Sus scrofa: one gene and its partners. The protein of the gene in region 1 purifies or fractionates together with the protein of each later gene. This does not show direct contact. Links are inferred from orthologs where the notes say so. Each region holds a gene or a part of one and is shown on either strand. Other genes may lie near its edges. The genes, in order: LZTS2, DYRK1B and DYRK1A.

What was found.
Region 2: the proteins of LZTS2 (region 1) and DYRK1B purify together in Homo sapiens (affinity purification with mass spectrometry; 3 studies listed by BioGRID and IntAct, counting the BioPlex papers as one, with this or other methods). This does not show direct contact. The link is inferred for Sus scrofa from reciprocal best matches to the Homo sapiens genes LZTS2 and DYRK1B.
Region 3: the proteins of LZTS2 (region 1) and DYRK1A purify together in Homo sapiens (affinity purification with mass spectrometry; 8 studies listed by BioGRID and IntAct, counting the BioPlex papers as one, with this or other methods). This does not show direct contact. The link is inferred for Sus scrofa from reciprocal best matches to the Homo sapiens genes LZTS2 and DYRK1A.

Annotation. Positions count from the first base shown.
Region 1 is NC_010456.5:112,076,739-112,081,131, reverse strand, and holds the start of LZTS2 (leucine zipper putative tumor suppressor 2), read right to left. Parts: upstream 2,922-4,393; 5' UTR 2,482-2,921; intron 1,305-2,481; exon of another isoform or gene 162-1,304; intron 1-161. UniProt on the Homo sapiens protein: Negative regulator of katanin-mediated microtubule severing and release from the centrosome. Required for central spindle formation and the completion of cytokinesis.
Region 2 is NC_010448.4:48,305,201-48,308,439, forward strand, and holds the end of DYRK1B (dual specificity tyrosine-phosphorylation-regulated kinase 1B), read right to left. Parts: intron 2,941-3,239; coding exon 2,794-2,940; intron 2,714-2,793; coding exon 2,573-2,713; intron 2,272-2,572; coding exon 1,956-2,271; intron 1,584-1,955; coding exon 1,477-1,583; intron 1,382-1,476; coding exon 1,010-1,381; 3' UTR 637-1,009; downstream 1-636.
Region 3 is NC_010455.5:201,137,421-201,141,065, reverse strand, and holds part of DYRK1A (dual specificity tyrosine-phosphorylation-regulated kinase 1A), read right to left. Parts: intron 2,111-3,645; coding exon 1,824-2,110; intron 1-1,823. UniProt on the Homo sapiens protein: Dual-specificity kinase which possesses both serine/threonine and tyrosine kinase activities. Exhibits a substrate preference for proline at position P+1 and arginine at position P-3.

The DNA of each region.
Region 1 (4,393 bases):
GCGCGGACACGCGCAGGCACCCCGCGTCACGCGTGTCCGGCGGGCAACACGCAGGAGCTGCGCGGCGGGACTCAGGCTCCCTCCTTCCGAGGGCCAGTGTCTGGGGTCTCGGTCGGCTCAGGATTAGGCGGCGGCGGCGGCAGGTCACCCTCTACCCCTACCCGGGCCCCGGGGCCAGCGGCAGCTGGTCATTGTTCGAGCACAAAGGGCCAGGCGCCGAGGCGGCCGCCCTTCCCCCTTCTCTTGTCTCGTCGATGCCTCTTCCCCCAGACACACTCTCCAGCTTCGGAGTCCAGAGGGGGCGGCGGAGGGTCAGTTGCCCCCGATTCGGGGCCCTGCGCCCCAGCACAAGTCGGGGGCCAAGGCTTGGTGGGTGTCTGCCCCACCCGCAGCCGGTTGGAGGAGGCACGCTTGGATTTGTGGAGGTGGCGCCACCTGGCGGCCCATTCGGAGAACACACTCGGTCACCGCCAACCTTGGGGGACCTTACCCTAGAAAGCCTAGGCCTTTCCCCAGCGCGGCTCAGTGCTCCCCAGCCTTCCCTCAGAGTCATTTCCTAAGAGAGAGGCCACTGATCCGAGAGAAGCAGCCCCTGGGCCCAACAGTCACTGAGGTGAGCCCATCCAAGCCTACAGGCCAAACCTACACAGCCGCGTAGCACACAACATCCCACTGTCTTCTCAGGGTCACGGATATTCTCAGCTCGGCAAACAAAACAGTCTTAACACCCACACGACCTTTCCCACAGTCTCACACAGCCACAATCATACAGTCTTTTTCATCACGAGGTTCCATGTCTCTTCTTCCCATAATCTTTCAGGCCAACACACAGAGACATTCGTTTCACATGCCTAGTTGTACACAGGCTTTCACAGCTCGAAGTCCTTCGCACCCAGTCACAATCTTAAATACACTTAGTCTCCTAAGCATTTTTCACACACTGACAGTCTTATTCACAGTCAAAAAACGTCTTCTTACATGTACACAACGTATTTCACAAACATTTTATCACACAGACTTTCCCGTAGGGTCTCTGTGACCCAGTCAGGTCAGCTGATGCCCACACGGCTGTACAAGGACAGCCTCCAGGCCCCTAACTCCGCCCCATCCAGGGCCAAGGCCTGCCACAGCTCCTCTACCCCAGGAAGGAGCATCTCCCCCCCTTCCAGGCCACAGCCCTGGCAGGCTCTCAGCTCTATTTTTAGCTCTATGGAAAGGATTGTTTTTCTTTCTTTTTCCCTGGAAAGGGAAACAGCTCAGCCACCCGCAGGCTCACCCTAGACCCTCTGCTCACAAGAACAGACTGAGTCCCACTCCGGTAGAGACCCCCCCCCCCTCTTCTGGCCTTGCCCTGATCCCAGCCTCCTGGGGCACTAGGAGCCGCCTCCCCTTTCTGGCAGCCAGCCCAGAAGCTCAGGCAGCAGCTGGGCTCAGCGTGCGTGTAGGGGTGGGGGGTGGGGTGAGGAAGGAGGCCGAGGGCCGATGCCCACTTTCATGCCCTGGGGGGAGGGGGCTGTCTTCCCTTCTACGGGAGGGAGACAGGCCCTCTCTGGTGTTGAGATGTGCACGCTCCTGCATTCTCTGGGGAAGGGGGACTCCCACTCTTGCATGCGTGGGCTTTCTGTTCCTACATTGCAAGGAGGAGCTCCTAGCTCTGCAGGGAGGGGTGGTAGTAGGAAGGGCACCCACAGGCGCTGCCGTAGCTGCTCCCTTGGCTGCTATACGCTGCCATCCAGAATATCGCCCCCACGCCCCCAATATCTTCAGGGATGGGGCACCATGTTGGGGAGAAGGAAGGGCGAAGAGCCCAGGTAACCCCAGGCCAGACCAACAGCCTCCTGTTCTCCTTCGCTAACCCGACTCCAGGGGGCGTTGTGTTCTCCTTCCGGGGGAGGTGGAGAATGGACTACAGCCCGGCCAGGTACCTTGCAAGCCCGTCCTGCACCGGGGCGGGCGGTTCCCGCCCTGAGGCCCGGGTGGGGGGAGCACAGCCCACAGGTCTGCGCTACGATCACGTGCTCGGCTCCTGTTTACGTCTTAGTCTTCACCTGCGGGCTGCCGGAAAGCAGGAACCTCTGGAGTTGTCCCACCCGGCCCGCCCCCGTCGGCGGTCCCTGGGTCTTTCCTCCCACCCCTGTCAAGTACGCGGCAGCAGCGCGCCTTGCCCGCTGGGGGTCCCGCGGGCCAGTGGCGTTGTTCCAGGGACGGCAGGCACAGCTCACTGGGCGCGTCCTCTTTAGGGTGCACGTGTGTTCGTCTGTCTCAGGTGCGCGCGTGGGTCTGTGTGTACGCGTGTTTGGACCCGTGAGTGTGAGGTTCCGTGTAGGTTCCCTGTTCACACTCTTCGCTTGTGCCTCCTGCACTGGGGACTCCCCTCCTCACTCCAACCCCCAACCTTCCAAGACCGGTAAAGTTCGCTCCGGCGCGGGGCTGTGCAGGAGCTAGAGTTCCGACACCTCCGCGGCCCCACCACGCACTCACCTAGGGCCACCTGCGCCGCCGCTCCAGCTCCCCTCCCGGCTCCTGCTCCAGCGCCAGCACCTCCTCGCCGCAGATCGGCCGGCTCCCAAGCCCGCTCCGGGCTGCGGACTCCCAGCGCCCGTCCGGCCGGGCCTGGAGGAGCGGGGCGGGGCGGCTGAGGCCGCGCCCCCGACCCCGACAGGGGAGTGGTCTGCGCAGCACCCCCTCAACAACCGACCCAGTGCCCAGCCCAGATGTGGCTCGATGGTGGCCCAGGACTGCTCCTCTGGCCTCTGACTTCACACCTTACAGCATTTGTCTTTCAGCTCGGGGAAGGGGCCAGTGGCACGTGACAGCTAAGCTGGCTGGCTGTCCTAACCAAGTCGGCTGTAGGGCTTTACAGCCACCTTCCTCAGCGCTTTAGGGAGCCCATCCTGGTCCATGCTCAGCCCAGTCCCCAGATGGGGAAAACCCCTGGGAAGCAGACAAAGAAGGCTCGGGTTTCACCAAAACAGACCCCGCCTTCCTCACACACACACACCTCGGCGTTGGGGCTGCCCTTGAGGACCAGCACCTCCCCCTCCCCGAGTAGGTGTCGGCCCAGGTGAGCCGGCCTGCCGGTTTGGGCCCCCACAGAGTATGGCCACGCTTCTCCTAGACTCGTAAAAGTTCCACCCACAGGCACAAACAGGAAGTTGACCTGTACTGCAGGGAGGAACCAAGGGCTCCCTCCCTCCATGGCACCCAAAGTGGCCTTTGTGAGGGCAGACTGTGCTGTCTACAGGTATCTGGGCTGTATTTGCAGCCTGAGCCCTGGGTAGCCGGAGTCTTGTGAGTTTAGTCCCTTCTCAAATGCAAGATGGAGAACCAAAGCTGCCCCCACACAGCTAAGTGTGACAATGAGTCTGAAGACAGCAGACAGCGCTGCAGATCCAGGGACCCTGTTCTGTCAGGCTCTTCCTCAGCTCTCAGGAAGGTTCTAAATGTCCAACTGGGCACATGGAATGCTGGTTCTAGCCCAGGTGATTTGCCTCAATCCACTTTGGCTGAGTACAGGGACAGGGAGTCCCAGGGACCTTACCCAGGAACTAGGGATTACCTGCCACTTTCTAGGCTGCAGTTACTCCGGAACATACTTCTGGCTAATTCTGATGCTAGGAGCTTAAGACAGGTGTGGAATGGAATGTGCTTGTGTACGGGGTGGGGCTGGGGGAGAATTAGCTTCCCCTCCCCCGAGCTGGTTTGTGCAGTGTGGTGGTGTCTGCTAGGAGGGTGGGGCAAGCCGGGCAAGTGTGTATCTATTCCTCTATAGCCAGTTCACACAGACACCTCGCAAAAGTTCCCTAATGGAAACTCCTAAAGTATTTCCTGAGAACACACCAGGCATTCTAGGGAGACCAGACCAACACCTTTCTAGGTAGCATTGATCTGGTGGGGTGCATCTGGAAGGCATGGCTGATGTTCAGTGTTGTAGCCCCTGGATGAGGCCTAGACCAGCCAGCGGCTGGGAATGATTACTGTGGGATTAGGAGAGCTGGCTCCAGCCAGTCTGGGAGAGACCCCCAAGAAGGGAGGCCCTGGAGGATCTCCCCCCTCCCCCCCAGGGAATGGCTTTGCTCCAGGGTCTGTTTCAGAAGACAACTGCAGTCACAGTTCTCACACACCACAGACCAGAGACCCCAGACCATCCATCCCACAGGGGTCCAGAGCCTCCTCTCAGGTTACAGGGAGACCTTGATAAGGCAGCCCTGCTTCCAGGGAGCAGGAAACCTCCCCCAACCCCCTCTACAAAAGGTTTCTCCCCAGCCCCTTTAAAACAGCTTGCATTCTCACCACTTCTGCAGGCAAATCTAAAAGGAAACGGGCACTTCGGGATATCAGAGGAAATGAAATGGAAAAGTGTCATTATTTAGGAATATTTGTCAGGGTCTCT
Region 2 (3,239 bases), on another chromosome or scaffold:
CGGGACAATATCGCCAAGCAGAATTCCTCTTCCCGGAAGCACCGCTCCCCAATGGTCAGGACGGTACCTTTTGAACCTGGCGGCTCTTAATTGGCGGGTCGGGAGAGTTTTCCAAATTATCATGGAAACAGGCCCACTTACCTGGAACCCCGGTAATTATCCCTTGGCCTGAGAACTCTCAAAACGTTTTGCTCCGTAATGATTCCAAAGGCCGGACGTGGGGGGGGGGGGCGTAAACTGCCTGTCAATCCCCAGGTGGCTCCAATCAGGCCGACCACAAGCACTCATCACCCACTAGACACCTGGCAAAAGCAGCCACGCCTGTGCCGACTCTGTGGAAGCCCTGGCTTTCTAGGGCAGAACCTGATGTTTCCCAGAGACAGGCCAGAGCTGGGCCTTTATCCTTCTTAGTTTACCCTAGATAAGGCAATGTGGGCTAGGATGCTTTCCAGGGTCTCTGTCTAGGATTCCACAGCCCCAGACCGCCTACAGCCCCAGGTCTGGCATCAGCACTGCTAACGTCCCCAGGGGACGCGTTCCACATGAGAAAGCTCTTCCAGCACCCCTTCCCCAAACACGTTCCCCATCACACCGCTGAGGGCTGGGTGAGGGGAGCCAAGGCCTTGCAAACGCTCAGGCGGGGCATGTGAGAAAGCTCTTTACTGGGGGGTACAGCGAGGAGGAGCAAGGCCATCTCCCCCTACCTGCCCCCACCCCCTCCTAGGGCCCTGGGGTGAGGGGACTCTCCCCCTCCCGCTGGACCACCACTGTCTTTGGTACAATAAATAGAAAACACAGGGGGAGAGGGGGCCAAGGGTCCAGTCCTTAGTGGGGAGGGTGCACCTGAACCCTTCTCCTTGACCCCCTGCCCCAGGCCCCAATCAGTGCAGGCCTCACCCACCCCGGCTGGGTAGCAGCAATTCCAGTCAAGGGGAAAGATGAGGATGGGAGCCCAGGGCCCCCAGATGGGGGGTATGGCTTCAGGAGGGGCCCCAGGGAGGGGGCAGGGTCATGAGCTGGCTGCCGTGCTCTGGGGTACACCACGGAGGCCCAAGCGAGGCCCCAGAGTGGCAGGGTCATCAGGGGGTGGGAGGGGTGGACGACCTCCTGTCATCCGAGTCCGGAGGGCTGAGGCAGCCGGGTGCTGGGGGGCAGGTGCCGGGTGAGGCGGGGAGCAGTCCGGAGGGCCTCCCACCAGGCTCACATCCATTAGCTCTGGGGGTGGTGGCGAGGTTGGTGATGGGGGACGACCAAGGCATCGGGGTTGGGGGGGTAACTGGGCCCCAGCCCCTGGCAGTGATGAGGCGGAGGCAGGGGCCTGATGTGTCTTGTGGGGCATATCACCCCCTGCCCAGGGGCGCAGCGGCTGGGAGGGTGGGACCTAAAGGAGCAAAGGAACAGTGGGTGATGGAGACCTAGGTCCTGAAGCCCCAGATACTCCACCACCCACCTCCAGAGTCCCCAAGGCCCCATTACCTGGGGGCTGTTCATCTCACAGTCAGTGATGGGGGGCCCAGGGCCCCCACAATATCGGTTGCTATAGCGGTAGGTCCGGTTGTCACTGGAGGAGCCACTGGAGCCTCCTGGAAGTGCCAGGGAAGGAGAGGAGAGGGCTTAGGCGAGGAGACGGGGCGGCTGGGTCTTCAGGTGGCAGAGTCTGGTTCACAGCCCAGGCTCAGGTCTAAGACTTTGGGGCGGTACCCACTGGGAGGATCAGGCCCAATTTTGAGACCAGGGGTCAGAGTTCAGTTTAGGGCATCAAAGAGTCAGAACTGAGCTCAGTTTGAGAGACCAGGTCAGGGCCAGTCTGAGCTCGCCTGCCCACCCCTTCTGGAGTTTCAGGGTCATGCAGTTTCAAAGCTCTAGGTGAAGGCTCAGTGGCAGGGCTGCCCAGATCAGCCCAAACCAGAGGTGCCCCCACCCCTGTTTTACCCCATCTGGCACTGAGCACCCACCAGAGCTGGAGATGGAGCTGGCGGTGCTGGAGGAGGGGCAGGTGTCAAGGGGCGCGGGCGACGTGGAGGCACTGCTGCCTGCCGGGCCCGTGTTGGTGGCCTCATCAGCCGTGCGGCGGAAGAAGCCATGCTGCAGAGCCCCCAGTGGGCTGATGCGGGCGGCGGGCTCATACTCCAGCATGCGCAGCACCAGGTCCTGGAAGCGGAGGTAGTCGGCGGGGCTGTGGCCCGGCTCCCCCGCCCGCCGGCCCCCGGGCCCGCCCGTCTGCACGCCCAGCACCTCCTGCAGCCGCCGTGTCCCGGGGCCCTGGTAATCCTGGCAGGGGGAGGTGGGAGGGGGGGCAAGAGAGTGGCCGTCAGTGGGCAGGAGGGGCAGGGAGACACACATGGGGAGACAGAGGCACAAGAGAGAAAGTAGAAAGAGAGAAGCTAAGAAGAGCTGTGGGGTGGGTAGGAGGAGAGATGGGGTGGGCGGGGGAGGAAGGAAAAGACAGGGCAGAGGAAGGAAGGGAAAGACACAAGGGAGAGGCAGCAGGGAGAGAGGGGGAGGGCGCCCCAAGTGTGAGAGAGTGAGGGGCCGCCGGGGTGGGAGGAGCGGCGTGGGGCAGGGGCCGCACCTTCCTGAGTTCCTTTGTCCTTCGCAGGGTCCAGCCACCCCCAGGCAGCCGCTCAAAGTACTTTCGAGCCTTGGGTGCCTGGTCCAGCATGGGGGCTGGTGGGATGCCCAGCACCTCCACAATGCGGTTCATCTGGTCCACCTGGGAGCAGGCGGGCAGTCAGGGTCATCAGCCAGCCAGGCCTCCACCCCCTCCAGCACACCCCCTCCTCGGGAGCACACCTCATTGGAGCCACTGAAGAGGGGCTCTCCGGTGTGCATCTCCACCAGGATGCAGCCCAGGGACCACATGTCAATGGCCAGGTCATAGGGTGTGCCCAGGAGCACCTCAGGCGAACGGTAGAAACGGCTCTGGATGTACTGGTAGATCTGGGGGAGGGGAAAGGGCAACAGTCAGAGGTCCCAGCCTTCCCTGTGGGTACCCCCGACACCCCCAAACCTAGGAGGACTGACTGTGCACAAGCCTCCTGCCTCCAGAACTGGGGATGGGGGTCTTCAAACCCTGATGTTTTCAGCACAACCTCCCAAGGATTGCTGCCACTACCTCACTCATCAGTTTCAGGAGTCTCTGCTGGCCTAGTCTGATCCCGATCTCCATCCCCTGGCCTGACCCTGAGCCCCTATGGGTCACCAGGATCCGGCAATCCGCAGACCTAGCCTCTTCCCAC
Region 3 (3,645 bases), on another chromosome or scaffold:
CCTTCTAAGACTGAGCCAGCAGACCTAAAGTAGGGCCAGTGCTGGCCTAGTTTAGAAACAAATTCCCATGGGATTCTGACACACTCACAGAGGTAAAAACTCACTGAGCTAAAGGCATAGTTGTCTTGGTTTGGCTGGAGAGACACAGCAGTGTTTGACATTAGGACAGAAGATATGATTTGGTTTAAAGAGGGAAAAAACTATGCAAGTCTAAAATCTTTTGCAATTACTCTCAAGATGGGCACGTATTTTCCATTTACAATAGACTTTATCCCACAGTGACTATGAGTATCTCTCGATTTTGAGAGGCATCTGAAACAGCAAACCTTGCTTCCTAATCCATCTATTTAAAAAAATTATTTCAATGATCTATAGTACTGCTTTCATAAGATAATTTGCAGAAAGTAATAAAAGGACAATCCTGTTAACTGGCCATAAACCTACTGTATTTAAAAGCTGGAAAAAAGTTGGACAGAACAGGAAATCTCATTAATTTGGAAAATTAAGAAATGGAAAACCATTATGAAACAGTGATACCTGAATGTTAGTTATATTTTTACTTTTTTTTAAAGAAATGTAGTTTCAATACTTAGTTAAATAGGAATAGTAATTAAAAAGTGAATGAAGTGTTATCAAATGGTGACCCTAGTTAGTTTCAAGAAGAGAATCTGTAAATTCTATTTTATATACAAAATACTGTTAGAGTAGCTTTCATAATGCTCAAAAGAATAGCAGGAAAAATCTTTCCTAAATCATCTAACCTAAATCTATTTATTGCTATGGACATGTCTGTTTTCAGCATTCTGAGGAAAATCAGTCTGGATACGTCTAAAAATTTATAAAAGGAAAAAAAATTTAAACTTATTTATCAAAACAACTATGTCTACTAACTGAGTAATTTCTAACTACATTGCCATGTGTAATGCAAAATTACCTCCCTTTTTTTTTCTTTTAACCCATCAGCTTTTTGTTGGGGGTGGTGGTGCTGCATCCATGGCATATGGAAGTTCCTGCGCTAGGGATCAAGTCCCAGCTGCAGCTATGACCTACACCATAGCTGTGGCAACACCAGACCCCTTAACCCACTGCACCACAGCAGGAACTCTAACCCATCAGCTTTTTGAGGAAAAACACTTATCTTGAGCTATATTTGGTGAAATATTTTACAGCAAGGATTCGATATTTCTATTACTGGAATTTCCCCAAACTTACACTAAAACTTCTATTTGGGAACTAAATCTTTTTTTTTTTGGGGGGGGGGGGGTCTTTTTGTCTTTTCTAGGGCCGCACCTGCAGCATATGGAGGTTCCCAGGCTAGGGGTCGAATCGGAGCTGTAGCCACCAGTCTACACCATAGCCACAGCAACGCCAGATCCGCATCTGCAACCTACACCATAGCTCACAGCAATGCCGGATCCTTAACCCACTGAGCCAGGTCAGGGATCAAACCTGCAACCTCATGGTTCCGAGTCAGATTCGTTAACCACTGAGCCATGATGGGAACTCCCAGGAACTAAATTTTTAATAAATCACCTAATATTTAATACATTCATCCCCTATTTTCTTTGCCTTTTGCATACAGATAATTTTTTAAAATAAACTTTGAAAAACCAATACATTCTAATTCAAAGTATTATTATTTGCATTTTAAAAGGTATTTTCGCCAAATAGGTAAAACACAAGGTGAGTCAAGTGCTACATTTGAACCATAAACCATCTTGTAATTACCTCCAAATTGTGTACAGATTAATAACATTTTAACTATCTACACCGTTTTACTCAATTCTATTTGAATTCACAAGTCCAGAAATAAATATACTTACCCTCTGCCCCAATTGACAAGAACTGCCAAAGTCAACAATCTTGATTGCACTGCGTTTGGGGTTACAAAGAAGGATGTTCTCAGGTTTTAGGTCACAGTGAATGATACTAAGTTCTGGAGTCGCAAGGAAAAGCAGTGCAGTGCACATCTGCTGTGCAAACTTTCGTGTTAGGTTCAAAGAGACACCTCGAAAATTGGTGTTCCTCAACAAGTCATAGAGGTTGTAGGACAGCATTTCAAAAACTAAACAGAGATGGTTTCGAAACATAAAGTGGCGTTTTAAATGCACTGAAAGAGAAAAAAGTTTCATTTTTAATTATACATAGCAGTAAGATGAGAATAACACATGCATGAACTCTCTAACAATCTATACACGACGTCAAATGCAGAGTGAAAATCAAACTAAAATTTGGAGATCAGCATTCTGCAGTAAACAGCACGTTCTTTAATCAGTTAAGAACCTCTAAACTGCTCATCTGCTGAATTCATATAGTGTACAGTGTCCGCCAATAAGCAATATAATGTAAGTAGTACCAACAAAGTGCCTTATTAAAAAAAAATTAAGTCAGGTGTGAAAATACAAGCAGCAAACTGACGAACAGTACTGGAAATACTTTGCTAATTTTATCCTCATTTGTAAAAGAAAACACTTTTCACTTTCTGAGCACCCGCCTCAGCACTTTGCTCCACCCACTGGGATGTCCAGCCTGCGACAGCGAGATACTTGGCCGCCCTCTCTGGGAGGCTTTGACATCTATAAATCTGCTTTGCTGAGCTTAGATTTTACCAGTAATTTCCCACAACAACTGTCAAAGGAAGACAGATTTTTTTTTTTCCTTTTAGGCAAGCAAAAGTTTGAAAATCAAGGTGTATGGTCTTTGAGAGGTCGTAGTCAAAGCATCTGATTATGTTCATCAAACTGGTACCTGGGACATCTTGTCTAAGACTGAACCTTTGTGGAAACTTCAAACTAAAGCTCAATCACAAGAAATTATGAGTAGGCTTATAAATGGGGAAAGAGGATAGAATACATCACTTGGTATCAGTATTGACTCTCTAAAAAGGCTAAATAGTCAATAAATGCTTCAAACTGTTGTGCTTTAAGTGTTAATACCAATTTCACATCAGATGAAGTCATTCAATAAAGGAAAGCACTGCTTTATAGTATAAAAATTCTTATATATACCAAACTGAGCACCTGTAACTCAACTAGAATGATATAAAACAACCATTTGTCAAGGTGACCTTCATTTTGGTCTTTTAGGATCCGGTAAAACAGAGGTTTCTCTACAGATCTATCTGGAATAACTAAGACAGTATTCAACATCTGGTCTCTGAGAATGGGATACACTGTGCTGTCCTGGGAGCAGCCCTGAACAATTAATGTCGGTATTGCTGCTTTTAGGTCACTTCCGTGATCTAAAGTCAGGAGGAGGAGCACTACACAACCACCGCAGGGCTCCACAGGAGTCCACAGCACAACTCAACTCTCCGCGGCAGTTACCTAAGAATGGATGCTAGATGCTCTTAATCAGAGTTCATCAGTTTAAACTAAAAACAGAGACCCACTGTGACATAAGACACCCTAGAGACATGGTCCGTGTAAGAGTGTGATCTGATTAAGAAGCAGCCACGAAAGGAATGCAAAAGGTAACTGATGTCGGAATTCAAATGGGATTATGAAAATCCCTCTAAGAAACTATGATGCGAATGTTCTTCCAAAGGAAGAACAATCCTCTGGGTTCCCCGATTCATCACTTGTTTACTGAGTATCTATAATGTGCTGAGCACTAAAAACATTGTCGAAGAAAGCTCAAACACAA